4 linked regions of the Elephas maximus indicus genome follow. The protein of the gene in region 1 binds, or shares a complex with, the protein of each later gene. Links are inferred from orthologs where the notes say so. Each region holds a gene or a part of one and is shown in the gene's direction. Other genes may lie near its edges. The genes, in order: TFDP2, E2F6, E2F2 and MYBL1.

What was found.
Region 2: TFDP2 (region 1) and E2F6 share a complex: the UniProt entries of both Homo sapiens proteins name them as parts of the DRTF1/E2F transcription factor complex. The link is inferred for Elephas maximus indicus from reciprocal best matches to the Homo sapiens genes TFDP2 and E2F6.
Region 3: TFDP2 (region 1) and E2F2 share a complex: the UniProt entries of both Homo sapiens proteins name them as parts of the DRTF1/E2F transcription factor complex. The link is inferred for Elephas maximus indicus from reciprocal best matches to the Homo sapiens genes TFDP2 and E2F2.
Region 4: TFDP2 (region 1) and MYBL1 share a complex: the UniProt entries of both Homo sapiens proteins name them as parts of the DREAM complex. The link is inferred for Elephas maximus indicus from reciprocal best matches to the Homo sapiens genes TFDP2 and MYBL1.

The regions. Positions count from the first base shown.
Region 1 is NC_064841.1:17,687,214-17,695,333, forward strand, and holds the start of TFDP2 (transcription factor Dp-2), read left to right. Parts: upstream 1-5,080; 5' UTR 5,081-5,793; coding exon 5,794-5,878; intron 5,879-6,181; exon of another isoform or gene 6,182-6,324; intron 6,325-8,120. UniProt on the Homo sapiens protein: Can stimulate E2F-dependent transcription.
Region 2 is NC_064830.1:26,135,021-26,142,736, reverse strand, and holds the start of E2F6 (transcription factor E2F6), read left to right. Parts: upstream 1-4,571; 5' UTR 4,572-4,866; coding exon 4,867-4,995; intron 4,996-7,716. UniProt on the Homo sapiens protein: Inhibitor of E2F-dependent transcription. Binds DNA cooperatively with DP proteins through the E2 recognition site, 5'-TTTC[CG]CGC-3'. Has a preference for the 5'-TTTCCCGC-3' E2F recognition site.
Region 3 is NC_064821.1:63,970,039-63,977,345, reverse strand, and holds the start of E2F2 (transcription factor E2F2), read left to right. Parts: upstream 1-4,101; 5' UTR 4,102-4,604; coding exon 4,605-4,856; intron 4,857-7,307. UniProt on the Homo sapiens protein: Transcription activator that binds DNA cooperatively with DP proteins through the E2 recognition site, 5'-TTTC[CG]CGC-3' found in the promoter region of a number of genes whose products are involved in cell cycle regulation or in DNA replication.
Region 4 is NC_064833.1:75,973,384-75,981,470, forward strand, and holds the start of MYBL1 (myb-related protein A), read left to right. Parts: upstream 1-5,021; 5' UTR 5,022-5,024; coding exon 5,025-5,122; intron 5,123-5,636; exon of another isoform or gene 5,637-5,946; coding exon of another isoform or gene 5,947-5,966; intron 5,967-8,087. UniProt on the Homo sapiens protein: Transcription factor that specifically recognizes the sequence 5'-YAAC[GT]G-3'.

The DNA.
Region 1 (8,120 bases):
TGGTGCCTGACTACCATTGCTGAACATTTTGATCAAAGATTCTTTAGAAGAGTTCTGATCAAAAGGGAAAAACTGAGGAACGGAATTTAAAATTCTCATGAAATCTAGACTTTCTGGAGTCATGGAGGCTGAATGAACTCCTCAAACTATTGCCCTGAAATAATCTTTAAAACTTAAGCCAAAAATATTCCCTGGAATCATCTTTAACCAAATAACAATTTAGCTTAATTAGTAAAGAATGTCTGCCTTGTGCTTTGTGCTCTGTTAAAGAACTATTTATATGAGATCAAATTGAAAATAGCAACTGGAAAGGTTAGATAGGAAGCTTAGGGGCAGTGAGTTTACGTTAGTGGGGGAGGAACATTTCAGAAAGGGAGGGTAAGAATGGTCGCACAACTTGAATGTGATTGAGGTTACTGAATTGTACATGTAAAAATTATTGAATCAGTGTATGTTCTGCTGTATATATTTTCAACAACCAAAAATATAAATCATTTTTTTTTAAAGCTCCCTTCCTCTTGTTTCCACTTGTGCTTATTTTCTTTAACCCTCCATTAGCTTTTCAGAGTTCTTATATAGTTGAGTTTACAGAGTCCTATAGGGTTGCTATGAGTCAGAATCGACTTGACGGCAATGGGTTTGGTTTTGGCTTTTTAATTGCTTCCCTTGGTGATCATGGCAAGGAGGTATCCAGAATCATGAACCTACTCATGCTGCCATCTTCCAAGAAGTCCTTGAAAAATTAAGCTTTATGCAATTTTAATCATATTAAATAGCCACATGTGGCTAAGTCTGCCATTTTGAATAGCACAGCTCTAGACACTGGGAAGCCATCAGAAGTTATATTTCTTTTCTCATTTGTTTTTAAACCAAAGTGTCATGGATTGAATTGTGTCGCCTCAAAAATGTGTGTATCAATTTGGCAGGGCCATGATTCCCTGTATTGTGTGATTTTCCTGTACGTTGTAAATCCCGCTTCTGTGATGTTAATGAGGGAGGATGGACGGCAGTTGTGTTAGTGAGGCAGGGCTCAATCTACAAGATTGGATTGTGTCTTGAGGCAATCTCTTGAGATATAAAAGAGAGAAGCAAGAAGAGAGACAGCGGGACCTTATACCACCAAGAAAGTAGTGCTGGAAGCAGAGCGCGTCCTTTGAACCTGGGGTCTCTGCTCAGAGAAGCTCCTAGTCCGGAGGAAGACTGATGAGAAGGCTGACAGAAAAAGAAAGCCTTCTCCTAGAGCCGACACCCCGAATTTGAACTTTTAGCCTACTTTACTGTGAAGAAATACATTTCTCTTTGTTAAAGCCATCCACTTGTGGTTTTCTGTTATAGCAGCACTAAATAACCAAGACATAAGGGAATGACATGTGTTTTAGAAAAACACTGGAAGCAGTGTGGGCATTTGGATGGTGAAATAGAGGCAAGAATAGAAAATTGCTTTCAATTCTGTATGATGATGTCTTTAACAAGGGTGGAGAGCATAGGAGGATGAGCTGGTTTGGGAAGGTAGACCAAGGATTGAATAGTGTAGAAGTTGCATTTGAGATTGTGGGATGTCTGGGTAGAGATGGGCAGTAGGCCGTTGAAAATAAGAGTTTAGAGCAGAGCAGAACAGAGAAGGCCAGAGCTTTAATTTTTTGTAATCATCTACACAGAAGTGATAGTTAAGTCATAGAAGTGGGAGTGTAGATCTTGAAGAAAAGAGCATCAAGGACAGAACCTTGAAAAATGTCTACATTTACAGCATAGAATGAAGAAGAGGAGTGAGCAAAGCAAAGTTACTTACTGTGTGATGTTTTTGAGAAACAAAGTCTTATCCATGGAAGTGGTGATAGGAATTCATTGCCTTAGTTATAGCGCTCATCAAGAAGATCAGACATTTTCCTTGAAAATGTTAGCAAGTATAGGCAGGACGTCACTGATTTCTGCTCCGTCATATGGGTCTGGTAGATAGTTATATTTAGCAACTATGGGCAAAAAAAAAAAAAAAACTTCATTAAGCTATCATAGTGTCATTTTTGCCTATAGGAATATTTTGTTAATATTTGCTCATGTTGCTAAAACACATAGCAAACTCCAGTCAAAATAACTCAGCTTATAAAGTCAGGGGAAAGAATGCCTAGGCACGTTTGGTGTTTTCGAGATAATCAATAGTTGGAATGAATGTGTTGCTTAAAGTGGAGTCCCTTATTGGTGCAAATGGTTGACATGCTCGGTTGAGAGCCTGAGGTTCAAATTCACCCAGAGGTGCCTCAGAAGAAAGGCCTGGCAATCTACTTCTGAGAATTCAGCCATTAAAACTCTATAGCGCAAAAAACAAAAGAGAAAGAAAAGAAAACCCTGTGGAGCATAGTTCTGCTCTAACATACGTGGGATCTGACATGACATGAATTAGAGTTGTGTCTTAGGCTGGGTTCTCTAGAGACGCAAAACCAGTAAAGTGTATAAATGTATACAGAGAGATCTATATCAAGGAAACAGCAGTGTGAGTGAAGAATTTGGGACTGGAGAGGGGTCATCAGGAAGGAAGGCAAGCAGGGAGAACGGAAATAGGTGGAGGGATAGAGATAGCCTGAGGGTCAGATCTATAGAGTAGGCAGTAGGGAGCAGGTCAGTTTGCTGTCTCAGTGCCTGATACGTAAGTGGTGCTCCGTAAGTATCTGTTGAAGGAAGGAATGAGTGGTGGTTAAAAAAACAGTTGCCGTTGAGTCTCTTCCGACTCATGGAGACCCTGTGTATATCAGTGTAGAACTGTGATCTATAGGGTTTTCTTTTTTTATATTTATTTTATTTTTTGTTGTTGTTGAGAATATACACAGCAGAACATACAATTTCTACATGTACAATTCAGTGACACTGATTATTCTTTGAGTTGTACAACCGTTCTCACCCTCGTTTTCTGAGTTGTTTCTCCCTCATTAATACAAACTCACTGCCTCCCCAAGTTTCCTATCTAATCTTTCAAGTTCTTGTTTTTAGTTTGATCCCATATAGATAGATCTTCAAAGAGGACAGTGCTCAGGCAGGCATTCTTTACTATTTAAGCTAAACTATTGTTTGGTTTTAAAAAGACTTAAGGGGATATTTTTGGTTTAAGGTTTAAAGATTATCTCAGGGGTTCATCCAGGCTTCATGGCTCCAGAAAGCCTAGATTTCATGAGAATTTTAAATTCTGTGCCACATTTCCCCTCTTTTGATCAGGATTCTTCTAGAGAATCTTTGATCAAAATGTTCAGTAATGGCAGCCAAGCTCCATCCAGTTCTGGGTCTCATGGCAAAGGAGGCAGTTGTTCCACAGGGTTTTCAGTGGCTAATTTTTTGGAATTAGATTGCTAGACCTTGCCTCCAAAGCACCTCTGGTGGACTTGAACCTCCTAGCCTTTGGTTAGCACCTGAGCATGTTGTTTGCACCACCCAGGGACTCTGGCTTGTAGTTAGAGAGAAGAAAAATTATTCCTACGGGAACAGTGGAATCCTACTTTGGCCCCACCCATTTAACGACTCTTGACCTCAGTCATTTCATTTCTTCCTGAAATGTTACGTGAAAGGTTATGTTAGAACAAATACTAAATGTGTGAACTTGTAATCGCTGTCCAGCTCTCCAAAGTATGGTGAGTGTACTTGGGTACCTGAAAGTTTAATTTCCTTTTGTTTTAACAGAGTAGCAAAGTAGACATGACCATAGCTAGCCCCTGAATATCCTGGTCTTGGGTGACATGGGCGAGCATTTCTCATCTGACAGGTAGAGGTGTGCAGTTCTTTTCTCTACCTGGCTGCTGGTAGGAGATCAAGAATGGTGAGAAGCAGGATGGGGCGTTTAAAATTATATATAAACATAAAATATTTTAATACACAAAATTGAGCGGATTCTGTGTAATTTCCAAGTTTCTTTTTTTATTCAAAAGTCTTCCAAAATTTGACTGCTCACAAAAACTTAGTTTGTAGAAGTTTAACCAATTTTCCTTTAAATATTACAGTGATCTCACGCCTGATAGTGGAAAAGGATTTTAGAATCAGAAAAGGTACAGGGCCATATAGGTGGTATTTTTAATTTTGTTTAAACTAGTATATATTTGTTATTGTTGTTAGGTGCTATCAAGCTGATTTCGACTCAGCAACTGTCTCATAGAGGTTTTTTTTTTTTTTACTATAATACAGTAGAACTGCCCCATAGGGTTTTTTTTGACTATAATCTTTGCGGAAGGAGATCTCCAGGTCTTTCTCCCGTGGAGCTGCTGGGTGGGTTTGAACTGTCAACCTTTCGATTAGCAGCCACTTAACTGTTTGTGCCACCAGGGCTCCTTAATATGTTTATAGCCCACTTTAATTTAGACCCTAAACTATATCATTGTTGCTATATCTCTGTATGCATCTAAGTGTAAAAAGCGGTACATAGTCTATTTACAAAAGAAAAGTTTAATTAAGAAAAAGCTCTCTTTGATCTGTTTCATTCAATGTGTATTTATTTAGCTAACAGTCCTGTTTTAGACATTGAATATACAGTACTGAGCAAAGCTCAAAATCCTTGCCCCCGAAAGCTGTTTTCAAATTTAAACCAAACCCATTGCTGTCTAGTTGATTCTGACTCATAGCAACCCTATAGGACAGAGTAGCACTGCCCCATAGGGTTTCAAAGGAACAGCTGGTGGATTCGAACTGCAGCCTTTTGGTTAGCAGCCGAGCTCTTAACCACTGAGCCTCCAGGGCTGCATTTTCCAATTAGGTGGTAACTCATCAAAAAAGGAAAGGTACCTTACTCACTAGAAACGCTGTTCATAGAGGGAGCTGAGACGTAAGGTAATAAGCCCACTGAAGTCAGGGGTTTTTGTTTGGCTTTTGTCTGTTGTGTTCACTGCTATATCCCTAGAGCCCAAAACAGTGCTTGACTCATAAAAGGCATTCAGTAAATATATGCCATTGATCCAAGTGTTTATCGTTTTGAATTTGTATGATTATAGGCATTATTTTTACATCTAGCTAGTTAAAAATTTTATGATCTCGGTTACCTTTTAATGTTTGTTCCCTACTTCTTGTTTCTCCTTGTGCCCACGACCAGGATGCAGGGAAAGCTTACTGATATTGATAATTAGTCTTTTGATTATCTGATTTTATAAAGAATAGATTTGGGAAGGAACAGAAGAAGTCAGCTTTGGTTCCACTTCCTGGCTAGAAAAACTGAGATGATTAAGTACATATTTTTAATTAATCATTTTTAAAACTGGGACATTAACTGGGGCTCTCTTGAGAAAATGGAAAAAGGTACTTAGCGTACATAAATAAAGGGGGGAAAAAAAAACGTTGCTGGCGAGTTGATTCCGACTCACAGTGACCCTATAGGACCGAACAGAACTGCCCTATAGGGTTTCCGAGCAGCAGCTAGTGGATTGGAACTGCTGACCTTTGGTTAGCAGCTGAGCTCTTAACCGCTGCGCAGGGTAGTAATCTGAAAATTTTAGAACCTTTAACTGTGTGAGAAAGTAAACACACACAGAGACACACACAGACACAGACATGGACACGGACACACACAGACACAGACACAGACACACACACACACACGACTAAGCTGCTCTTTGTTGATATCAGAAATGGGCCTGTCATTCATTTTGGCATTGAAGCGTAGCCTCCTATCTCAGGGGGCAGGACCAGGTTTTTTTTTTTTTTCCTCTCTCTCTCCCTCTCAGAAGAGCCGGACAGTTATTTCAGGTTCAAAAAGCTTTGACCAACTTTTCAAGAGTTTCTTCCCATTTTTATTCGTGTAACTCTCGGTGCTTTTGCTCTGCTTTCAAGATGCATTCAGATCTGCTGCTGCGTGACTGCTTCAGAGCCAGCAAATACCCTGAAATGTGTAATTCGAATTTTTCAGCTTTCACGAGTAAGTTTAATCTTACTTTTTAGCCAGCTAAAATTCAAGTGATTAAATTCAAGTGATTTTTTTAGAGAAGCGTTAGCTTGGAGTTAGGCATTTCACCATCTCACCCCTTTTATTTTAAACATAATAAAAAAAAAAGAACTTTAGTAAGAAAGCAAGGTCCAACATAGAAAGGCTCCTTAAAAAAGCCCCTTTCGGTCTCTTAGGACCTGTGTTTCCAGTTTCTTTTGAAGTCTCTTTGTTACGTTAGGCAGTATTTAGAGGTCTTTTAAAAGCCAATAGCTAGTTTTCTTGAGCATCTTTTTTCTTTTTACTGAGGAGTATTTTAAATGGATCTTTTCTGAGCTCGATTGCTTATGTCTGACACAGTCTCAAGTTTCCACTGAATGGTAACAAAGACTGTAGAGTGTTGTTGGTACTGCAGTGAGAGGCATGCTTCCTTAGACCAGGTAAGAGAGAGCATTTTGTTTCTTAGTGCTGGGTGAGTTTTTACAGCGTTTGCTTTCTGTTCTTTAAACAGCAGCAATGGTAAATGGGTAAATAGCTAAGAGCACGCTGAAATCAAGACGTCCTTGCTTGTTGCAGACAGGGAAACTACAGGGCATGGGGGTTGGGGTGGGCTGGGGGGGAGGGGTAGAGTTAGTTTATCACTCAGTTACTTACCTAAATTCATTAAAATGTGAAAATAATTCTAGAGTTCAGTGTTTTTCATTCAAGAGCTACAGAAACATTTGAGGACGGGAATAATTTGAAAGGTACTTTGTGATTTTTAACTTCTGAAAGCAATTCAAATGATTTTTACTTCCATTTCTTTCTAGCAGTTAATAAACTTTACCCTTAACTATACATTTTTTTTTTTTTTTATGGAGAATTTAAATTGTCAACAGCCAAATAGGCTTCCTCGGGATCTTGAGGGATAAACCTGACACTTGAAAAATATTTCAGATTTTATAGCTGTTTCATGCCTTTTTTTTTTTCCACCTAGAACATTTTTCTTAAAACTATTTGTGCTTTGAAAATGTCAGCTGTATTCTAATGAAGCTCAGGCATTGTTTGCTCATAAAGGGACTGGTGCATTCCACTGCTTTATGGTTTATTATGAGGCAGTGTGAGGGTGTGGGTGGCACCATTTGGTGTCTGCCTCTCGGGGCAGTGACTGCCATTATGTTAGCTTTGGGCTGGCAAAGAAAATATAGCATGCAAGATTCTATATGCATCTGGATCCCGTAAAGAAAAAACTCTAAGCAGTTCTGAGTGAGCCGGGAATGTGTGACAACTTGATTGAGTTGATCACTTCAAGTATACACTTTTCAAGTCTGCATTTTAGTGACAATGGAACATCGGTCACCTTTCTTGTTTTTTGATGTGTATGGAACTTAGCCATTCTATGCGCTTTAATTAAAAAAGTGAATCTTTCTAGATCAACGGTGACATTGTATAGATCCAGCACAATCTGAAATAATTTTAATACATTTACTTTAGAACAAGTTTTAAGGAACTTGGTGTGGGGGGGGGGGAGTGGAAGGGGGAGATCAGGGGGAGAGCCTTCCTTTCAGGCAGGAAAGCCCTGATGAAGAAAGAGCAACAGATGTTTCTTCTGTTACAATTGAGGTTGTTTCATTCAAAACACAGTAGCTGGAATGGGGAGGGGAGGTCATAAATCTGACTTAATCAGTGAATCAACAAAGCTTAGTCTTTTAAAATTTCTTTTTTTATACTCAGGATTTGAACATCAGTATTAGAGTAACATATTTGGAATAACCAACCCATTGCAGAAACTTTGTTTCCCCCATCTTCAAAAATTGTGTGTAATTAATGCAAAAGTGGGATATTTTATTTTAGACCATTTAACTTAAGGAAAAAAAAATTGAGCATCAGGTTATTGAGAGTATTTTTCAAAAGTTAAGTCATTATAAAATATCTAGGGACTACTCAGAGAATGTAAAAGTTTGTAATCTCGTGATAGTTAGGAAGGCTCAAAATGAATTTGAAAATGTGAAACATCAGTTGTGTATATTGGTAAGTCATTTCATCTTCTATGAGAAGCATGAAACTTATTCCAGAAGATCTTTGAATAAGAAATGTGAAAGAAATATTTTGGGTTTAATTGAAATGCTGTCTTGCTGTTTTGCCTCTCAAAAGATAAGTAAGCTTAGGGTCCTTGCTAATGGAAAAAGGGGAGAGTGATTATCTGCTGCAAAGAGAAGGATGGGAGAATTTGCAGGCAATATGCATGTCACGAAAA
Region 2 (7,716 bases), on another chromosome or scaffold:
AGCCACTGTGTCAATCCATCTCATTGAGGTCTTCCTCTTTTTCACTGACCCTCTACTCTACCAAGCATGGTGCTCTTCTCCAGGGACTGGTCCCTCCTGATAACATGTCTGAAGTATGTGAGACAAAGTTTCACCATCCTCACTTCTAAAGTGCATTCTGACAGTACTTTTTCCAAGACAGATTTATTTGTTCTTCTGGCAGTCCATGGTGTATTCAACATCCTTCTCCAACACCATAATTCAAAGACATCAATTCTTCTTCTGTCTTCCTTATTCATTGCCCAACTTTCACATTCATATGAAGTGATTAAAAACACCATGGCTTGGGTCAGGCACGCTTTAGTCCTTAAAGTGACATCTTTGCTTTTTAACACTTTAAAGAGGTCTTTTGTAGCAGATTTGCCCAAATGGAACGCATCATTTGATTTCTTGACTGCTGCATCCATGGGCATTGATTGTGAATCCAAGTAAAATGAAATCCTTGACAACTTCAATATTTTCTCCATTTATCATGATGTTGCTTATTGGTCCAGTTGTGAGGATATTTGTTTTCTTTACGTTGAGGTATAATCCATACTGAAGGCTGTGGTCTTTGATCTTCATTACTAAGTGCTTCAAGTCCTCTTCACTTTCAGCAAGCAAGGTTGTGTCATCTGCATAACGCAGGTTGTTAATGAGCCTTCCTCCAATCCTGACACCACGTTCTTCTTCAAAATAGGCCATCTTTCAGATTATTTGCTCAGCATACAGATTGAATAGGTATGGTGAAAGAATACAGCCCTGACACACACCTTTCCTGACTCTAAACCCTGCAGTATCCCCTTGTTCTGTTCGAACAACTGCTTGTTGGTCTAAGTACAGGTTCCTTATGGGCAAAATTAAGTATTCTGGAATTCCCATTCTTTGCAACGTTATCCATAACTTGTTATGATCCACACAGTTGAATACCTTTGCATAGTCAATAAAACACAGGAAAGCATCTTTCTGGTATTCTCTGCTTCAGCCAGGGCCCATCTGACATCAGCAATGATGTCCCTCATTCCATGTCTTCTTCTGAATCCAGCCTGAATTTCAGGCAGCTCTTTGTCAACGTACTATAGGTTAGTAGTCAAGCAAAAATCTTCTGCACCACCCACGGATCTTTTATAAGAATATCTTCTTCACAGGCAGTTGTGTGAGAAGGCACTTGCAAGCTATACAAAATTCAATTTCATTTATTTCTTCTCTGTGCTCCCACAGCATGTTATGCGCGTTGTAATTTAGTTCTTACACTTCCAGGTTATGTGTCTCCACCAGGCTGGGTGCCCCTGGAACACAACATAAGGTCCCTGTCAGATTTAGTTGTACCCTCAACACCTAACCTACTGCCAGGCACATGACAGATGCTGTGGCAGTTAAGGTTGTGTGTCAGCTTGGCTGGGCCATGATTCTCAGTGGTTTGGCAGTTATGATGCAGTCTGGCAGTCATAGGATGATGGAGTCACTTCCATGATGAGATTTGATATAATAGGATCACCTCCATGATAGGATCTGCTGTGAGTAGCCAGTCAGTTGGAAGGGAGTTTCCTTGGGGGTGTGGCCTGCATCCAAAATAGGTGGATTTTCTGGCAAGGCCCACAGGCTTTTGCTCGCTCTGGATCTTGCTCCTGTTCATCTGACCTCTAGTTCTTGAGACGTGAGCTAGCAGTTTATCTGCTGTCTTGCCCACTGATCTTGAAATTCATCAGTCTTCGCAGCCTGTGAGCCAGAGCCAAGTTTGCCAATCTTGGGTTTGCCAGCCCCCGTGGCTATGTGACTCAGGAGAAGCCTCCAGCCTGACCCACGGACTTGGGATGTTCCAGCCTTTAAAACCGCATGAGCCCCACTTCCTTAATATAAATCTCTCTACATATATATTATATATTTATATGCTTTACTGGTTTTGCTTCTCTAGAGAACCCAGGCTAAGACAGATGCAAGTGTGTGACATGTGTGAGTGATTCTCAGGGTAAAGCTGATAGGTGCTGTCAGTGCCTGGAGGTGTGTCCCAAACAAGTCCCTGACTCTCCACAGCTGTTCTCATGCCATTTCTTCAGCCTGGAGTGCCTGCCACCCCTATCCGGACCCACACCCACCTCACTCACCTGACCCCATCTCTGACTGTAGAATCCCCCAACTAGTCAGAATCCTCTCAAGGATAAGCATACCAAATTAATTAATCAGCCGTGGAATTCAAATTCTGGCTCTACCGCTACCTAGCCAGGACTTGTTAATCCTCATTTTCCTGATCTACAAATTGGGCAGAAAGACACATATCTTTCAGTTGTGACACGAGAGTTTCATGAGAAAATGTGTGCAGAACATTTATCAGAATGCCAAACACGTAGTAGATGCTGGATAAATGTCTATTATCATTATCACTACTCCTCCTATTACTACTACTCTTCCTCCTCCTCCTCCTACTGATACTAATACTACTCATACTACTACTACTCTTACTCCTACTCCTCCTCGTCCTCCTAATACTACTCCTACTACCCCTACTCCTCCTACTGCTCCTACTTCTACTCCTCCTACTACTCCTACTCCTCCTACTACTCCTACTCCTCCTACTCCTCCTACTCCTCATACTCATTTCCACGTGCAGTCACATTGATAGATACATGGGTGGGGCTGCAACATATTTAGGGTTAGGGGATATAACTCAACCCATAACACTTCCTCTACCCATCAGGGACTGCAGGAAATGCTGAGATGGTCTCTGGGCATCTCATGCCCTGAGTACCACACTGCCATTGCTACTTCATCTACCGTGGTGTCTGTGCCATGGTCATACAGGACTTCCCAGTGAGACCTGCCACCTCCCTGGGCCTCACCTGAGTATGCTGTCTGCTCTGAGGTCCTCAAACTTACCTGCTCATGTCCCCCACCCTCTTGGGACTGGGTACAAGGGAGCAGGTTCAGGGTCCTCATTCTCACATCTCTATTGTTTCCTTTTCCAACTTTCTTCTTGTCACCAGATAAGAAAACATTTATTCTGACTGGAGTAAAGGAAATTGATTCAGCCTAATCATGAAAGGTCTTCAATCTCTCATTGAATCTTATCCTTCGAGTTTAAAACTTTGTGTGTGTGTGTGTGTGTGTGTGTGTGTGTGTGTGTGTGTGTGCATGTTCTCAGGCCTTATTCCGACAGTTCTCCATTGGAACAAGGAGGCCGCAAGACTTGAAGTCCGAACAGTAGAGAAGACAATTACTGCCCCATCGTACAATTTCAAAATACTTTGATAAGAGCCAGGTTAGAAACATGCATGGAGTCCCTGCGTGGTGTAAATGGTTAAGTGCTTGCTGCTAATTGAAAGGTTGGAGAGGTTCGAGTCCACCCAGACGTCCTTGGAAGAAATACCTAATTCTGAAAAATCAGCCATTGAAAACCGCAGTTCTACTCTGACACACCTTAGGATTGTCATGAGTGGGAATTGACTAAACTGGCAACTGGTTAAAAAAAGAAATATGCGCAGGATACTAGTTGAGGGCTAGGAGAGGGGGAGAGGAACAAATATGGAAAATCAAACAAAGACTAGGGGAATGGGGAAAAAGAAGTAGTTTTCTGAAGAAAGTGATGGCTAAGTTGAGTCAGCTAGGACCAGTAAAAACGGGAAATTATTGATTCCAGGCAGAGAAAGTAAGATGTACAAAGATCCAAAAGTAAGAGAGTATCGTCCCTATTCTGAAACTGAAAAATCAGACCGGACCTCGGTGTGTAAGGGAGAGAGACACTCCAGGTGAGGCTTACTTAAGGGGTCCCTGGGAGCCACATTGTGAAGCCCTTGTGTGCTATGCTGAGGAATTTGTCATTGGCGGGTTAGAAGGGAAGTGACATGTGACCATAATATAAAAATGTATTTGTTTCTCTGATCTTGGATCAAGTCTATGCCAAACTCAAATGTGTATCTCCTGTGTCCAGCAAACACCTGACACAATAGGTAATCAACAATTACTCATAAGAGGAAAAGAGGAAGGAGAGACAGAAGCATCTAAGGAAACAATTGCGCAGTGGTTTGGTTGCCAACATTTACTAAGCATCAGCTATGGGCAAGAGCCTGTGATGTGCAGAGGGAACTACAAGAATAAAGTAGCATCCCTGCGTGCTCAGGTTTACTTATTAATGTCAGTAATTCTGAGACCACAGTGGCGTTTTCCCGGGTGTCTCTTTTCTCTGGAGGAGTCCTGCTGGTGCAGTGGTTTAAGCTCTGGCTGCTAATTGAAAGGTCGGCAGTTCAAACCCACGGGCTGCTCCACGGGAGAAAGATATGGCAGTCGGCTTCCCTAAAAAATTACAGCCTTGGAAACCCTACGGGGCAGTTCTACTCTGTCCTGTGGGGTCGCTGTGAGTAGGAATCGACTGGACGGGCAACATGTTTGCTTTCTTTTCTCTCATCCCGGTTCCCTACCTCTGGAGTTCCTGCCCCACCTCTTCCTTTCCTTCGCCACCCTCTCCGAAGGATCCGCCGTCCGGGATTTCCCGCGCTCCGGCCAGCCCGCCGCTGGGAATAGATAAGTGCGTGGGAGCGCTGCGGTAGCGGCAGCGGCAGCGGCAGCGGCAGCGGCAGACATGCGCAAAGGGGGCGGCGCACCGCGCATGCGGGAACATGGCGGGCCTGACATCTTGAACAGTAGTGGGTCACCTTCCTTTCCTCCCTTCTGTGTTAGCGACGCTGAAGTTCGTGGGGGTAGTGACGCTCCTGTGTGTAGGGCGGCCTAGACAGGCGGCGCCTCGGAGGAGTCGCAGGATCTGGTTCGCGCTGAGCCCCCGGAAAGCCGTGTGTTGGAGGCGTAGCTCGATCAGAGCGGGAGAAGGCGGGAGAGTGCGCAGGGTGCGAGGGGCGAATGGCTGCTCGGCTCGGCAGCATGAGTCAGCAGCGGGCACCGAGGAAATTGCCCAGCCTCCTCGTGAACCCGGCGGAGGAGACCATTCGCCGCCGCTGCCGAGACCCGATTAACGTGGAGGGCCTTTTGGTAAGCCACGGGACCGTGGGGTGGAGGGTCTCGGGCACCGGGCCCTCTCTGGGAGGAGAGCCGGGCTGGCCGTCGTCTGTATTATGAGCTCCCCCAGGGCTTCCCCTCCGTCTTCCCGGCTCTCCCACTGCCCATCACGGACTGTGAACCAGACTGGCTTATTTGCTCCTACATGTGTTGTCAGCTTTTTTGGCTCTTCCCTCGGGGCTCCAGAGCACTTTTAGAGAAAACTGCTCAGCCTCGCACGGTAAATGCATGCTTGTCTACCTAAACTGGCCGTTCAGTACATCTCTGCAGATTTGTTTTTCTCTTCAGCGTCTTCTCGCATTCTCCCGCTTAAATGCAGAGGTTTAAATCCTTGTCCACATCTCACATTTCCCACCCTACAGCTCTCCATTCAGTAAATTAGCTTCTGTCCTGTTTCACAGAGAAAGCAGAAGGGAGATTTGGCTCCCTCTCTGCAGAAGCCTTATTTCGTCTATTCTTGTTCTAGACTGGAAGTTCTATTCTCTGGGGTTCTCAGGGCACATTGATGGACCCGTCATTTTCTATTTCGGTCGATATTTTCAGTTTCTCTGCTGGCTTCTTTCTGTAACTTGTGATAGCTAAACAATTACTGAACAGTCAGATGCCCGGTTTTCATGTCAAATGGTTTATGAATATTATCTCATTTAATTGCTCACAGCAATCCTAAGAGATAGGCACTGTTACAGTATTATTCTTTTTTTTCTGTAGTGGTGTGTGCTGTGGAGTTCTTTCAGACTCACAGTGACCCGATAGGGCAGAGTAGAACTGCCCCATAGGGTTTCCCAAGCTGTAATCTTTACAGAAACAGATCGCCAGGTCTTTTCTCCCGTGGAGCCGATGGGTAGGTTCTAACAGCCAACCTTTTGCTTAGCAGCCGAGCACTTAAACGTGTGTGTTACCAGACCTACTGCGATATATCTAGTTGATTCCGACTTATAGCTGCTCTATGGGACAAAGTAGAACTGAAAAAAAAATTTTTTTTTTTTCATGGGACAAAGTAGAACTGCCCCATAGGGTTTCCAAGGATCAGCTGGTGGATTCGAACTGCTAACCTTTTGGTTAGCAGCCAGCTATTGACCACAGCTTCACCAGGGCTCCTTATTCTTGTTTTATGGTTGCCGAAACAGATTTGGAGATGTTAGGTGATCTGCCCATGGTTAGATAGCTGGTAAGATAGCTAATGAGCCCTGATTTAACCTCAGAATATCTGACTCCAGATGATAAATTCTTGACTGCTTAACTGATCCTTGTCTTAAAAGACTGTCCCTTAATTTTATATCCCCTTTCATCTGCTGTATGTCTTCCCCTTCACAGACAAGCTTCTTAAAATAGTTGTTTGCACTCACTTTGTCCGCTTCCCCACCTCTCATTAACTCTTCAACCCACTGCTCTGGGACTTCTGCCCTGCCCACACCTCTGAAGGGTTGGAACCAAGCTCATCATCCATCTTGTTAACTCTGATTAGATGTTTCACTCGTCTCCTGTAACTTTCACACAATTAACTACTCTCTCTTGTTCCAAAGTCTCTCCACTGAGCTTCTCTGACACCGCATATTCTTGGTGCTCCATCTACCTGTCTGGCTTCCATTGTGCTCCTTTGCAAACTCATCTTCCCCTTCCCATTCATTAAATGTTGGTGTTTTTCAGGGCTTTTGCTTACCTTCTATCTTGGTAAATAGTACCACACCCACCGTATTGCCCAAGCCAGTATCTTAGGCATCATCCTTACCGTCTCCCATCTCCAAACTGACCCCCTTCATCCTCCCAATCCAATTAAAATTAACCAGCAATACTCACCACTTCTAACCATTACCTGTTTTTTTAGATTATTGCAGTGTTTTCCTGTTTCCAGTCATGCCTCCCACTTTCTCATATGTTCTCCACATAGTAACCATAATGATCTTTGTAAAGTATATTTCTGATCATGTCATTTTGTTTAAAGAATCTGTCATGATTGCGTAGTGCTCTCAGAATAGAATAGAATCTCCTTAATGAAATGTGGCTCCTGGGTTTATCTTTTCAGCCATCCTGAACTGCTTATAGTCACTAAAGTTTTCCATATCCTTTCTTAACCCCCAGGTCATCACATGTGCTGTTTTCTTTGTCTGAGATGATTATGTATACTGCTGAGTGTTTGGTGGAGCCCTGGTTTCACAGTGGTTAAGAGCTCGGCTGCTAACCAAAAGGTCAGCAGTTCGACTCCACCAGCTGCTCCTTGGAAACCCTATAGGGCAGTTCTGTTCTGTCCTGTAGGGTTTTTTAGTGTTTGGTGTTGCCTGAGTAAGTGAGGAGAGCGCAGTCACCTCAGAGAAAGGTGCGTTTCCAAAAAGCTCTCGAAGGAATGTTACCACCCAGAACAGAGAATTGGGAAAGAGGCATTTGTGAAGAGAAATGTATAACCAATTTTGAGGCATCGCTTCGTATTTTAGTCCCTGAGATTCATCTTTTATTCTCTTATTCCACCTTGGAAGAAGCGTCTGAGGTCATTTCAGGCTTCGGCCAGAAGTAATAGGGACAAGGGACAGCGTGCTAGCCTCTGAGATCTCAGAATAGAAGAATAAGGCCTTTAGATGTGTGATTTGGAGCAGTAGTGAAATCCCAGTTTGGAACTTGAGAGAATAAACCAATTCATCCATTAAGAGCCATTGGTTCCTAGGGAAGCACTGAGATCATACTTAGTGGTTTTCAACTTAG
Region 3 (7,307 bases), on another chromosome or scaffold:
TGCTCTTTCCATCCCCAATAACATCTACAGCACTGGAACCCCCGGTTCATTGGCAGAACTTACCCTCCTTCACATGGGGCTCTGCGGCTGAGGTCTTTGTTCAAAATAGCCCATTGCCTTAGGAGATCTGGGTTCAGATCCTAGTTTCATCTTTAACCAGCCCTTCCTTGGTCAAGTCCCTTCATATGTTTGAACCTCAGTTTCTTCATCTGTCCGTATTGAACCTATGTTAAAGGATAGTTAGGAGGTTTCAACAGAATAGTGCATGTAAAGTGCTTAGCCAGGTGCTTCACCCCGAGGAAGTGCTCAGGAAATGTGAGCTGTTGTCATCATCATTGACTCAGGGGAAGAGGGCACAAAGGTAAAAAAATGGTTTGAAGTTTTATTGAGTGTCCTACTCCAGACTTTGCTCTTGGTAGTCCACCATTTGAGCTGGGCTTGAAGGGTGGACCAGATTGGGGCACATGAGATGGAGGGGAGGAGGAGTATCCCAGGTAAGGAGCCTTGTAAGCAAAGCTTGGGAGGCGGGAAAGTATAGAGCAAGTATGGAAGACTACAAGCATTTTAGTCTGGTTCAGTGTGAAGGCCTCTTCTCTCCATCACACAAACCTTAGCTAAAATGCATTAAGTACCTACTAGGCAAGAGCTGAAGAGCTCTGGTGGTACAACGGTTAAGTGCTTGGCTGTTAACCTCAAGGTGAGTGGTTTGAACCCACCAACTGCTCCACTGGAGAAAAGACCTGGTGATCTTTTCCTGTAAAGATTACTATTACCATCAAGTCGATTCCAACTCATAGCGACCCCATATGACAGAGCAGAACTGCCCCACGGGGTTTTCAAGGTTAAAATCTTTATGGAAGCAGACTGCCACATCTTTCTCCCACGGAGCGGCTGGTGGGTTTGAACAGCCAACATTTTAGTTAGCAGCCGAACTCTTAACCACTGAGCCACCAGGGCTCCTTCCATAAAGATTAAAACAAAACCAGCCTAGGAAATGCTATGGGGCAGTTCTCCTCTGTCCTGTAGGGTCGCTATGAGTCAGAATTGACACAATGGCATAAAGCAACGACAACAGGCAATTGGAAATCACCCAGAGGTGCCTTAGAAGACAGGCCTGGCGATCTGCTTGTGGGTGGTCACAGGTTTGAACTCTCTAAGGAGCACTTCTACTCAGCACACATGGGGTCGCCATGAGTTACATCGACTTGACAGCAACTAACACCAAAATGCAAACTGCACACCTCCCCCCAGAGTCCCTGGGTAGTACACATGGTTAACGCGCTTGGCTGCTAACCAAAAGGTTGGACGTTGGAGTCCACCCAGTGGTGCCTTGGGAGAAAGGCCTGGTAAGCTACTTCTGAAAAACCAGCCATTGAAAACCCTATGGAGCATGGTTCTACTCTAACACACATGGGGTCACCATGAGTCGGAACTGACTTGAAGGCAACGGTACATGCCCAGCACCCCATAAGGATTTTACATCTAACACTCGATTGAATCAACTCGACAACAACGGGTTTTTTGGTTTAGTAATCCCAGAGGTCACTTTTGCCACCCCATTTCAAAGATGAGAAAATTGAGGCTCACAGAGATTAGGTAACTTGGCTAAGGTCACAACTGTAGGAATAGATGGGACAGGAATTCAAACTCAAGGAAACAGCTTTCAGATCTGTGTGCCCCACACCTCTTGCAAGAATTAGTTCCCAGGCAGTGAAACTCTAAAGCTAGCCCGAGCTCCCGAAACTCAACCGCAGAGAGCTGGCTCGCAGCTCCCTTGCTGGCTTGCTTCTCTCCTCTCAGCCCCACCCTACCACCCCCATTTCCCTCCCTGGCCCTGGGGCCCTGCTTCTTCCCCAAACCTGCTCTGCCACAATTCCTTCCAGGTTCCTTCATCTGTAAAATGGGGATAATGATAGTGCCTGTCTCAGAGAGGTGTCGTGAGGATCAGAGCTGATGCTCCAGGTGAAGTGCTTGGAACCCAGCACATAGTAGGCTGTCAAACATTAGCAATCATAATCACCACCATCATTTCAATAGTGTCTCTGAAGTTCTGTGAAATTAAAAAAAACAAAAAACAAAACTGATGGTATTATCCCTATTTGATGGTTGAGGAACCTGAGGTTAAGAGAGGTGGAGCAGCTGCCTGTCCTGGGTTGCTCAGCTAGGAAGTGGAGAGTGGAGACTTGAATTGGGGCCTTCTGACTTGGACTTCAGATCTCATTAACATCTGCCACTCTCTACTGGGAAGATGAGTGAATCATATCATCAATATTTATTTTGCATGCTAAGCCAGGTCCTAGATGCTGAGAGGTATCCAAAGAAGGATATGACCTGGACCCTACAGAGGGCTTTGAACCTAACTGATAAAAAAGGGATGAAAACAAAGTCTTGGAACATGAGGTAGAACATACTAAAGTTCCAGAGAGGGCCAGAAGCACTCTGACTGAGAGATGGCAGACAGGCAGGGAAGACTTCCTGAAGGAGGTACAATTTAAGCTGGGCCTTAAAAGACCAGTGAGATATGTAGACTGGAGTGAAGGGGTCTGTGTAGTGGAGATAAGGCCAGAGATGGAATAACAGCTGCCATTTCTCAGGTTTCCTAGGAGCCAGGCTCTGTGCTGAGAGCTTTACATGCATTATCTCATGAGATTCCCCGACAATCCTATGAGGTGGGTGTTACTAGAGATGAGAAAAACAAGGCTCAGAGACTAGAAAACCAGCATGGGATCACAGCTAGTAAGTGGCAGGGCCTGGGTTTGAACCCAGGGCTGTTTGCTCTAAAGCTTGGGTTCTTAAGCTTCATCATGCATTCTGGCTACGTTGTTCTCACAATCTGACCAGTTATTAAACTGGGGAAGGACTCTGGAGGGCCTTGAATGCCAGGCTTAGACTTGCATAAAAATCACAGGGCACCAGGCAAGAATCAGCTGACCTGGAATCCAGCAGTAGTTTCTAGCTCTGCCACTTACAAGCTCCATCATCTCTCTAAGCCTCAAAAAAAAAAAAAAAAAAAAGCCTCAGCATCCCTAAAAAAGAGAGATGAGAAATGTTATTGGATTATCAGCAATAAGGAAACCGTGGTGGCATAGTGGTTAAGTGCTACAGCTGCTAACCAAGAGGTCAGCAGTTCAAATCCACCAGGTGCTCCTTGGAAACTCTATGGGGCAGTTCTACTCTGTCCTATAGGGTCGCTATGATATGAGTTGGAATCGACTCGATGGCAGTGGGTTTGGTTTTTTGGTTATCAGCAATAAAGGCTTTTGAATGAGGGAGGAGGCTCTTGTGACAAAAGGATTGTTTTAGGAGAAATCTGAACATTTACCTAGTGTTGGGCCTGGGAATACAACCGTGAACAAGACAGGGCTCTGCACTCTGGACCCCTGTGTCTGCAAGGGGCAGGGCACAGCCTGGGTGGGTGGGGAGGAACCTCTTATTGGAAAAAACAAGGGCTCTGGAGCCAGACTGTCCCAGATTCAACTGTCGGCTCTGCCAATCAGCAAATTTTGCTGTATGACCTTGGACAATTTACCTAGCCTCTCAGATGTTCCATCTTTATGATGGTGATCATCACTCCTTTTCCCAGGACTGTTGAATCAAATTAAACAACATACATAATGATCTAGCAAGGTGCTTGGCATACTGTAGGCGCTCATAGATGGAGAAATATGAAGAGATATGTTAGGCTCCGAGAAAAGGTACAGGGTCCTGGCTTTCATTTTAGTGGGGAAATGGGCATAAATGCATATACGCTAGTGCGAACTAACGAAAGGTAGTGGCCTGAGGAACGTACTGGTAGGTCTGGGCTCAGGTTAGGACACCGTGCCAAATGCTTTCCCCCAGCCCCTGGGAATTCGGGTCCTTTCCTCGGCGCGCTCTCCCTGCTCTGGCTGTCTCTGCCTTGTACGACGTCCCGGGAGTACCCTCCCAGTCTCAGCTTCTCGGGCTGCTAGCCCCGGCGGGCACCAGGCGATAACAGGTGCGGCGGCCCCTTTAAGCAGCAAAGCTCGTGTTGCAATCGCCGCCTCGAAGAAAGGTCCTTTCCGGGGGGTGGAGCTTGCTCTTGTTGCAGCAGCCAATCGAAGCGCGGCATTTTCCGCGGGAGATCCAAATTTCGCGGCACGCAGTTTGGCGCTAAAAAAAAAAAAGAAGAAGAAAAAAAAGAGGCAGAGAAAGGCTCGGGAACTAGAGGGCGAGCCCGAAGAGTCAGTGCCATCGCCCCCCCACCCCCATCCGAGTGCATCGCGTCTTCGCCGAGCCTGCGGGCGCCCCAAGTCCCCTCCCCGGAACAGGCCGGCCCCCCAGCGCCGAGGCCTCAGGGGCGCTGGGCCGTCCCGGGTCGCGGCCGCCTTCGGGGCGGGGCAGCCCCTGCCCGTGCCACCGCCGCCGCCGCCGCCGGGCGATCTCCAAGCGGCGATCTCCAAGCGCAGCTTGGCTCGGCCACGGGCCAGGAGGGGAGGGTCTGGCCTTGCCCCGCAGGCGTCCATTGGCGGCTTTCCCCGGCCTCCGCGCCATGCCGCGGGCTGTGTAAGCTGCTGCGGGCTCTGGAGCCCGCAGGTGCCCGCGGGCGCGCCAGGCTCGGGTGAGGAGGGGGCGCTGCGCTCGCCATGCTGCGAGGGCCCCGGGCCCTGGCTCCGGCCGCCGGGCCACCCCAAAAGGGACTGCCCGCGATAAGTCCCACCGAGCTGTGGCCGCCTGGACTCGGCAGCCCCCAGCTCTGCCCGGCCACCACCACCTACTACACCTCGTTGTACCAGCAGACAGTGCCTCCCACCGCGGCACCGGGCACCTGCCTCGACGCGACCCCTCACGGACCAGAGGGCCAAGCTGTGCGATGCGTGCCCGCAGGCCGGCTGCCGGTAATGCTGGGGATTCCCACCCCTTCTCCCTATGCTTTTCTGGATGTAGGAAGGAGGGAGGGGCGCTTGGGACTCAGAGTTTTGGGAGGAGGATGATTGTGTTCAGCCTCCAGAACGACCCACTGCCCCCAACACCCGAGTAGAAGGCCCCTTCATATTCACACTTTGGGTGAAATAACCTCCTCCATTGGAGTAGAGTGAATGAGCACTGGATGGGGAGTCTGGAGATCCAGCCTACTGCCCCGAGTACATGGCGTGACCTTGGGGAAGTCCCTGGAGCCAACACTAACGTCATTCCTTCATTCTTTCATTCATTGTCTCCTCCAGAAACCAGTACTGGGCCTCTGCTATTGTCCATGCACAGGGCTTGGTCTGGGGACACCATGGGGACTTTAAAACAGAGCACAGGTCTGATAGGTCTTGGGTCCAGTCTTCCTTGGACAGACTTGAAATTATCCATTCAGCAAACTCCTTCCTAAGTATCTGCCCTAGGTCCTTCCCCAGGCTCATTCTTCCCTCCTAGACTGCCAGTAGCAGGTGCAAATCAGGGGTAGCACTTGGGGTTCCTGTTGAGATTGGCTGTTCCCTCCTCAAGCCCCAGGCCTGTTGCCAGGGAGGCCCAAAGCGTGGAGGCACAGGCTGCCTGCTGACCTCGGCACAGGGCATGTTTTGTGGGAGGCGAGCTCCTGGAGCCCATGGGAATCGAAACAAGTATAGGGTGGGGGAGGGGTGGGAAAAGCCCTGGGGGGCAGGTGGTGGTTGGGGAGCCTGGTTTCTGGTCCTGACTGTGCCACTAACTTGTGGCCTTGGATAAGCCTAGGCCCCGTCTGATTCTCAGTCTCCTTATCTGGAAAATGTGTGTGTCTGTCAGGTAGCTGGGGGCCTAGATCATCTTGGGTCACTTCCAGCTCCAGGTCCTGGGTTTTGTAAGCAGAATGGGGAGGGGAGCTGGGGGTGTTGCAGGTTTGCTTAGCCAGGGTGTGGTGAATACGCTCAGGTACAAGGATAAGACCACTCCCTTCCTCCAAAGGCATCTGGCACACCTGTGTCAGTCAGCAGGCACAGGCTCCCAGTCATCTCTAGATGCAGGCAGAGTCCCTATTCCTGCCATCAGAAACATGCTTTGCCCATGTCCAGAGTCACTCCCTGAGCCTTATTCCAACTAAGAGGGAGGAGGAGGCAGCGGTAGGTGCTATTATCCCTATTTTACAGGTCAAGCAAAACCAAGGATAACTGGGACTAGGTGGCTTTCTTGCATTCAGCATTTTATAGCATAAACCCCTTTTGTACTCTGTGAAGTAGTTGCTGTTAGTAGCTCCATGTTACAGGGGAACAGGCTCAGAGAAGGCATGTAACCTGCCCAAGGCCACACAGGAGGACAGGGTGGAATGGGGACCAGGCCTCAGGTTTCTCGACCCACAAGACAGGTGACAGGTAGTCTCTTCTCAATGCAACATTGACTTATCCCTAGATTTTCCAGCCTCAGAGTTGGGCCTCCCCTAGGGAAGGGGCTCAGTGGTGGGGCCCAGCCTCTCCTCTGGCCAGCTGCTTTCTGACACCCAGGCGGAGTTTCAGTAACAGCTGTGGTTTTGAGCTGCTTCCCTCCCAGAGGAGCCCCAGTGCATCTGTCTGCACCATCCCTCCCAGAGGGCCTCAGTGATCTCAGCAAGAATGGCTCTTTTACCGAACGCCTCGAGTGTGCCAGCCACTGCTTGGTACTCCTCACATTCATTGTCTTAGTCAAGATGCTGGGGATGAGGCATCTTGCAGACGAGGAAGCTGAGCAGAGCCGTGAAGTTACTTGCCCAAGTCACAAGAAGTGGGAGATCCTCGTTGCATGAGACCACCCCAAAGGTGCTGCCACTGGGGCCTGAGCACCTCTATCAGGCCCAGAGCCCAGGCTCCTCAGCCTCATGGGCAGGCCTTGGCCCCTTGCTTACTCATTTGACAAGGGTGTGACCTGGAGCGGCTCCAAACCCAACCCTGGGTGTGACTGCTGGCTTTGTGGCCAGACTGCAAAGTGCAGGGTGAGCAGGATTTGTCAGAGAGCTGCTGTTTAAAGGGACCTCCAGGGACAGCAACCAAGTTCCGTGGCAGAAGGAAAACCAGACTTCAGGTCTCCTTGCTCCCCATCTAATTCTTACTCCACCACCCTCTGGGGAGGCAGGGGAGACACCTTCTTTGAGTGCCTGCTCTGGCTGGGCACATTGCATTATTCAGTGTCATCCCTGCAGGAACCGGTGATGATGGGGTGATCCTGCCTGGCTCTCCTTTCCTTGTCATTTATCTGCATTTTCCAAAGTCCCTCAGAACCAAGAAAGAAAATAGACACTTTAACAAACAACCCTACAAGGCAGGTAAGATGAGATGGGAGCTCAGAGAGGCCAGGCAGCGCATCCCAGGCTGCCCAGCTATCAAGTGGCAGAGCTGGGACCTGAAATGAGGAGGCTC
Region 4 (8,087 bases), on another chromosome or scaffold:
TCCTCATTTGGAGCTTCCAGATCCCACTGGAAAATTCAGGTCCCACTTCTGTATCCTTCTGTGTATAGTTTCTGGGCCGTGGGCACCTTATGCTGTTTTATACATCAGTATGCTCCTAATTTCTCTCTTCCAGAAATACATTAATACAGGTCCATTGATGTTCCTTCTGTTCCACCTATAGCTATTTTGGGTTCATTCCCCTTTCTGCATTTGTAATAACATGAGTTTGGGATGGAGAATAAACCCATTAACCCATTGCTGTTGAGTTGATTCTGACTCACGGTGACCCTATAGGACAGAGTAGAACTGCCCCATATGGTTTCCAAGGAGCACCAGGTGGATTTGAACTGCCAGCCTTTTGGTTAGCAGCAGTAGTTCTTAACCCCTACACCACCAGGTATGGAGAATAGGTAATCACATATGCTCAATCCACCATCTTGAACCAAAAGCCCAGGACTTAAATTTGTAATGAAATTACACAGGGTAATTTCAGGACTTGTTGTCTCCTCTAGGTGGCGCCATCATTTTGTAAACTGAAGACATTTTAACTTCAAAGGAAGCGTAGTGTTTTTGCTTTTTGCCGAAGAAGCAAGGCTAAAAAATATAAGCAAAAACCATTCTTTATCTTTCATTCATTCACTGAATGTGTAAAAACAAAGGACAAATTAAATAGGGAGATGACATTCAAAGAATGGACTATAGGCCTGTCCTTTAGAGATACTGATATGGCTACTACTGAGAGAGACAGTCCTCCTTGGCCCTCTTGCAGTCCTACACACATCTTGCTGGGTGTGCCAAGATTCCAAGACCCTGACCACTCTTTTGCCCAGGATATTTCTCAGGATTATTTTTGCAGCTGGTAAACTTGAGAGATGAGGTAGCATCTCCTTGTTGCGAAAGAACAGCAAGCCCGCTTGCTGCTTGCTATAAAAGCAGTAGATTCTCCATGCTCAGTGTTTTCTAAGCTGTAGCACAAACCCACTGTGTACACAGCATGTGTATGGCCCATCACATTACCCCATGAATGAGGGATCCTCATGTATATTAGTGTAATAGGAAGGATTTAGGCACACAGCATAGGGGATCCCTCATTCTTAGATGAAAAGAAATACTGTTTAGTATTAATCTTATCACTCAGTTCAGTTTAACAAAGTTATTGAACACCTACTCAATTGACATTGGTACTATAGAGATAAATGAACTCATAGTCTGTTAGGTTAAGAGAATGAATAAGAGAAGAACAGATTATACTGAAATGTGATAAATGCATCAGCAGAGATATATTCCAGGAACAGAGGTAGAAGATAATGATTAATGGAATCTTTAGGGAGTGGTAGAGGGAGGATTTAGGGAGGTTTTCCAGAGAGGGTAACATCTGAGTTGGGTCTTGATGAGTAAACAGAAATTTTACAGACAAAGAAGAGCATACTTGACAGAGGATAAATATGTGCAAAAGCACAGAGGCATGGAAAGCATGATGTGTACAAAAAATTCAAGTATATTACATGAATTGACCAAGATCACATAGAAAGTTTCAGCTGTCCTGATTCTTGATCAGGTGTTTATTCTGTTGCATTATATAGTTGTAAACTCTTGTATAAGTATTTGAAGTTACTTGTTACTTTATCCTTTATGTTTGTTGTCAAAAGCAGTTCCAGGTGTAGCACCTCAACCCATTACCAGTAAAAATCATCATTCTGGCTTCTAAATTACTATCATATTTCTCAAATAAGTTAATTTTTATAGGTACAACTAGCTAAGAGATGGTTAACTTAGGAAAATAATAGCAGAGTCACATTTGAACCTAGATCTCTAAACTGAGACCCAGTACCAACTTAAAACAAAAATTGCACATGAAAATGCACTTAAAAATAAGGTGCAGGTAAATAAGTGACATACTCATAATTACTCTAATACCTGTAAAGTATTATGCCTTAGATTAACTAGAACCTCCTCCTCTCCTAAGCATCTTGAGTTCAGATCTTTCTACTAGGCTATCTCATTTCCAATTTTATATTCTAGTAATACTAAACCACTTTAGCCTTAGTTTCCTCATCTGTAAGATGGGAATTCTATTAGTAACATAGATGAGATAATGTATGTTCAATACTTAACATAGTGCAACTTAGTGTGTAGCTGCTTATCAGATAATAGTTTTTATGAGGCTGGGTGATAGGTGTAGGACCAAATCATCAAGTTACCTTATTGTCATATTAAGGACTTTATCCTGTAGGCAATGGGAAGCCAATGAAAGCTATGTTTTGTTTTAATATGACAGCTTAATATTGAGCTATAGTTCACATACCATACAGTTCACCCATTTCAAGTGTACAACTCAATGGTTTTTAGTATATTCACAGTTGTGCAACAATCACAATTAATTTTAGAACATTTTCATCACCCCCAAAAGAAACCCATAACCATTAGCAATCACTCCTATTTCCTCCCAACCCTTCCCCTCAGTTCTAGGTAACCACTACTCTGTTTGCTTTTAAAAGCTGGGCAGAAAAAAACAGATTTATGTTTTAAAAGATCCTTCAGGTGGCCGTATGGAGGATGTATTGGACTGGACAAAACTAGAGGCTGGAAAATCAGTTAAAAGACTTCCTGTAGCTGAGTGAGAGATGAGAGCTTGCACTGGCAGTAGGGATGGAGAGGAGAGGCTAATGGAAAGAGAATAAATAAAAAGGTGAATCCTGTTCTTACAAAGAGGTTGAATTTTGGGATTTTAGCTCTTGCAGGTGGAGAGAGATCTAGTTCAGGAGGGAGGTTGGGGCTGGAAGTAAAGATCTGCTGAATCCTGTGCTTACAGGATATGATTGAAACCACAGGAGTGGGTGAGATTCCTTAGGACAGTGTGAAGTGAGAACAGAGCTAAAAACTGAATACTGAATACTGGGGAATGCCAACCTTGAAGGAGCAGGCAGAGCTGGGGGCTTGCAAAGTGGTTTGAGGGATGTATAGAATGGACATCATGGAGGTGATGTCACAGAAACTGAGATGAAGTTTCAATTAAAAGGCAGTAATCGAGTCAAATGCAGTAGAAAGGGCAGGTAAGATGAGGATTTATTTCTTCAAGTGTCCATTGGATTTAACAGGGTTTTTTTTTTTTTGCTTCTATTCAGTTATTAACATAAAATGTCTTTCAAAGGCTATGTACATCCTTATGACTTTTGCTTGATATTGCTTTCCAAAAGGATTATATCAGTTTTCAGTAACACCCCCACCGAGAAATTATTAAAATCTTTTTCGCATGGTTTAGAACAATTTAGTATTTACAAAGTGTTATTTCAAATCTATTTTAATTTTTTTTTTGCCAACTTGTGACCATGAATATTTAAGTGCTTGCTTATTTTTGCCCTTTTTCATTCATTCATTCTACAGATACAGTATTTTATTGAGCAAAATCTTGCTGTGTCACTATTCCAGGGGCTGTGTGGATCTAGCAGGGAATAAAACAGACAAAAAAAAAAAAAAAATCCCCGTATGAGAATGGTTGATACAACTCTATTAAAAGCACAATCTTTTAGGCACTTTTCAGACTAGTATAAGCAAACTTTTTGAGTATCTGGCCTTTGACTGGGGGAGGATGAGAAGAGGGACAGCTGTCTGAAAGATGACCATGGTGCATTTTTCTTGGGAAGCAATTTACTTAGAGATGTGGAGTATGAAAGTGAATTAGTAAAGCAGTTTTTAATGTTTTTATAATAAAAACATGAATATATTTATCATGGAATAGAATGCAAAATTTTACATGAGTTTTTAAAGATAGATTTCAAAGAAGTTTTCAACACTTGCTCCCAGACACTTCCTCCCCCTCCTGCTCCCCTTAGTATTCAATCCTCTCTACCTTGAGGGCAGGTACTTCACTGGACAAACTTGAGAAGCATTAACTATCCAAAACCAGCCTGGTTTATGATAGAGTATGTAAATTCAAATGACTTACCACTTTAGTTCCACACTTTGTCTTTAGTTTTATGACTAATTTATTTTGCCATGTTCTATCTTCCCGAGGAAAATTTTTTTCCTGCCTGTAAAATGAGAGGGATTTATTTTACTGTCAAAATTTCAAACGCCTGCCTTCAAGTTCTAAAAATTTATTTTGTGTAAAACTGACTATATCCTAAAATACGGCAGAAGCTCTGCTGTTAGAATATAAATGACGGAGTAGTGTATGACTAGGAATAAATAAGAAAACACTGACTCCAAATGACATTGCTTTCTAAATTAGGTGTTTTTGTTTTGTTTTTTAAAGTGGACCACCAACACAGGAATGATTTACAAGAAAAGCTTCTTTACCTTCCCAGAACCCCTACCTTGAGAAAAAGGAACTATAAGAAGGCAGGTGTTTTGACAGTAACTTGCATGCAAGCTCCTCTTAATTCACATTTGCACCTGCATCTCCGATTTGCAAAAGATGACGCGTGAAATGTCAAAATAGCAAAATGCCAGTTAATGTTACAATATTAATATGTGGTTCAGTGCTCTATGCAGTAGAGCATGTTGCCTTGCAAATTTGGATCCTTGGCCATTTCTGATCGTTAATATAGTTAATCTACTTGATTTGAGCAATTCGTAGCTACTGAACTTGGAACCTCTGCTAGAAGTTTCTCTAATGCAGCTCCTTTCCCTCTGTCTCTTGCGGAAGGACGGTCACTTGTTGACTACCGTACTCATCAGGCAAAGCTACTCTGAATCTGGGCGAGATTCCCAGCGCACTGCTGTCTCCCTGCATGTTCCTCCCGGTCTAGGGCTCCTCCACGATGCACACCGAATAACTCCTGTACAGCGGGGTTGGAGATTAAGCACTTTAAAGACCAGCCGCAGATGAATTACTTCCCTTTCCCGTTCTAAACACGTTTCCTGATGAAAACCTTTTTTCACCTGTCCCACTCCTGCCATGTTGGGGGGAAAAAATAGGTGAAATTCGGTTTCCTGCCACAATCTTCGCCACTCCCGTAACTATGATGTCTGGGCAAAGACAGCTTAAATGTTTGCTTAAAAAATAACGGCCGCGTAGGTTTATGGTCAGATTCATCTCAAGTCTGAAGACTTCACCTCCTATTGAGCTGGGATACACCCAAGGAGGGAAGAACGGAGACGGAGAAGCGGCTGCAAAGAGGTACACCGGCCCACCCGCGGGGCCGCCCGCCCGGGCAGTTGGCGGCGGCTGGGGCTGACGCGCCCCGGCTTCCGACTCAGCCCTCGGCGAGCGCAGGAACTCGCTTTCCCAGCGGGCCGCGCGCGGCCCTCGAGGGCCCGCCCCCTCGCGTTGCTGCGCTGGGCGCGCTCCGGTTCCTGTCACAGCGCGGCCCGCGCGCCCCTCGCGGCCCCACCCCCAGCTCCCGGCTCCTGCCCCGACTCCCGCGAGTTCCAGTCCCAGTTTCCAGCTCCCCTCCCCGCCCTCAGTCGCGCGCGCTCTCCCCGCCCCACCCTTCCCCCTCCCCCCGGCTGCGGCCGCCACAGCCAATGAGGTTCGGGGCCGCGTGCGCAGATTCAAACGGCGGCTCTTGAGGGAGGCTGGGCGCGAGATTCGGCGGTGCGGACAAAACCCTGCAGGAGGCTGCGAGCCCTGCAGAGCTGCTCGCTGCGGGGCGGGGCGGGGCGGGGGTCGTCGCCCTCTGCGGAGCCGCGCTGGGACTACAGCGAGGAGGCTGAAGGGCGGCGGAGGGACAGGCAGAGGGCGAGAGCGCGCCTCCTGATATGTCGGGGCATCCCTGACCGGGCAGGGCTGGGCTAGGAGCGGGGCTGCGGGTCCGGGCGGGTCGCGGTCCGCCCTTCTGTCCCTCCGTCCTGCCCTGCGGGGACGTGCGTTCCGCGCTCGGCAGCTCCGGGGAGGGTGCGAGGGAAGTTAGCGGGAAGGTCGGGGAGAAGGAGCATTCGCCTGAGGCTGGAGGAGGCTGAACTGCGTCTCCGCCCAGCCCGCGCCTATGCGGTACTTGAAGGATGGCGAAGAGGTCGCGCAGGTGGGTGACATCCCCTTTGCCCAGGCCTGGCGGCGCCATCTGGCTTAGATTCCCTCTCCCGTCCCCCCGTCCCTCCCCGGGCTCTCCCCAGCCGGGGTAGAGTTTGCCTGCCCGTTGCCCCACAGCCGCTGCGGCCCCTCTGTGGGGAGGCCCCCGCGGCGTGTGGAGAGTTGGGGACCACTGTGATTAAAACACAGAAATGGAGTAACAGCTGCCCAGGTTGCTCCTTTGAGCTGATCCTCCCCGCAGCGCGCGTCCAGCCCCCTAACTGCTCAGAGCCATTTCTCGGTGGGAAAGGGTTTCTGGCCAGGTAAGTCTGCGCGCTTTCAGGGGACAGCTACGCAGATACAAACGGCAGTGTCCTGCCTGGAGGACTGGAACACGGGGCTCAGAGGGACTCTCTTTTCTGAATCACTGTACCCGTTAACTAGGAACTTCTTGATAAACCTGGGCGGGGACCCCACTCTCAACTTGGCTACCTTGAAAGGTATGGAAAATTCTCCGAGGAATAGCTGAAGAGAAAGTACCTTTCTCCTGTTTTCTGTAATCATTCGTACCCATGCTCTCAGCTTATGTATATTTTAAAATATTTTCTACTGGGAGGATGTCACATCGTTACTATCAGTAGCTTGTGCTTAAAATAAAACAATGTATTTCACTCACGTAATATTTTGAGTGTCCGTGTTTGGTTCTGACTGTACCTATGTGTTGCACAGAGATAGGGCACATTTTTTTTGTTGTTGGAAAATGCTAGGATAAATTTATACATCTAATTTTTATCTGTGTATGACTATAGTAAACAAAAACAAAAGCCAATTACTATAGCAGCTACTTCTAAATTGTGTGGAGTAACCACTTAAATGATGGAAACAGAAGAACCCTGGGTGTTTTTTAATTTGCAGTATCATGTAAACCTGAAAAGATGTTTGGCATAATTTCACAATGTTTTTATTTATCTAGATCCACAGCCTTCTTAACTAGAGATGTGTTTCTTCAGCCGAAATTTATCACTTGGATTCATTTACTGAAGATTCTTAAAAACTCAAAATTGGAAGTAACTACACATATTGTGCTTTATTCATTTGTTAAGCACCAAGTATGCACAAGGAGCCCTGGTGGTGCATGGTTAAGAGCTCGTTTGCTAACCAAAAGGCTGGCAGTTCAAATCCATGAGCTGCTCCTTGGAAGCCCAACTCTGTGTTACTCCAACCTACAGGGTCTGGATATGAGTCGGAATCGACTTGATGGCAGTGGGTTTGGTTTAGGTTCTAGTATGCACAAAATATTTTGCAGAAATCAACATAAACTGTAAACTAAGTCCTTGTTTATTATTTTGTAGCAACTACAGTATAGGGCAGACCCTTGAGCTGGAACAAATGTATACACACACATACACATGAAAAACCCACTTATCCAGAGCAGGATTTTCAGCCTTACTGCTATTGACATTTTGGATGAAATGACTCTTTGTCCTCGGGGGCTGTTCTCCGCATTGTAAGATTCTTAACAGCATCCCTGGCCTCTACTCAGTAAATAAATGCCAGTAACAAAAAATGTCTCCAAGACATTGCCAAATGACCCTTGAGGAACAAAATCACCTCTGGTTTAGAATCCACTGTTCTAGAACTTCAAGGACCCAGTTAACCTCTTGATCTTCAGAAAAGAGATTTTAAAAGGTCCTGTAATGATGATTACTGAAGTACTGGTTTAGGCCTTTTCATTTGAACTTTTAAATACAAACAATTCGTAAATAAAGTAACTTCATTAAGCAGGGTGACAAGTGAAAATTTATGTCAACTCAAAAGTTTTTATCTTCAGTGTGTGGCATTATCTACCTATTAGTATTGTTGTTGATTTTTCTTGGCTAATGCTGTTCCCAGCACTTAAAGTTATGGTTAGACACGGATGTTTGAATGTCAGAACCCTCTCCTCCCTAACCGGTTCTCTGTCCATTTTATAATCACATATGTTGTTTTCTGTTACTGACAATTCTGTGAGCTTTGAAACCTAAACATATATTGCACTGTTGATTTTAATTCTTTGTCAGCTACATATATTAAAACATAGAGTGATTTGAAGAGTCCTAAGTCTGCAGTAATGTGGTGGACTCAAGCTACACTC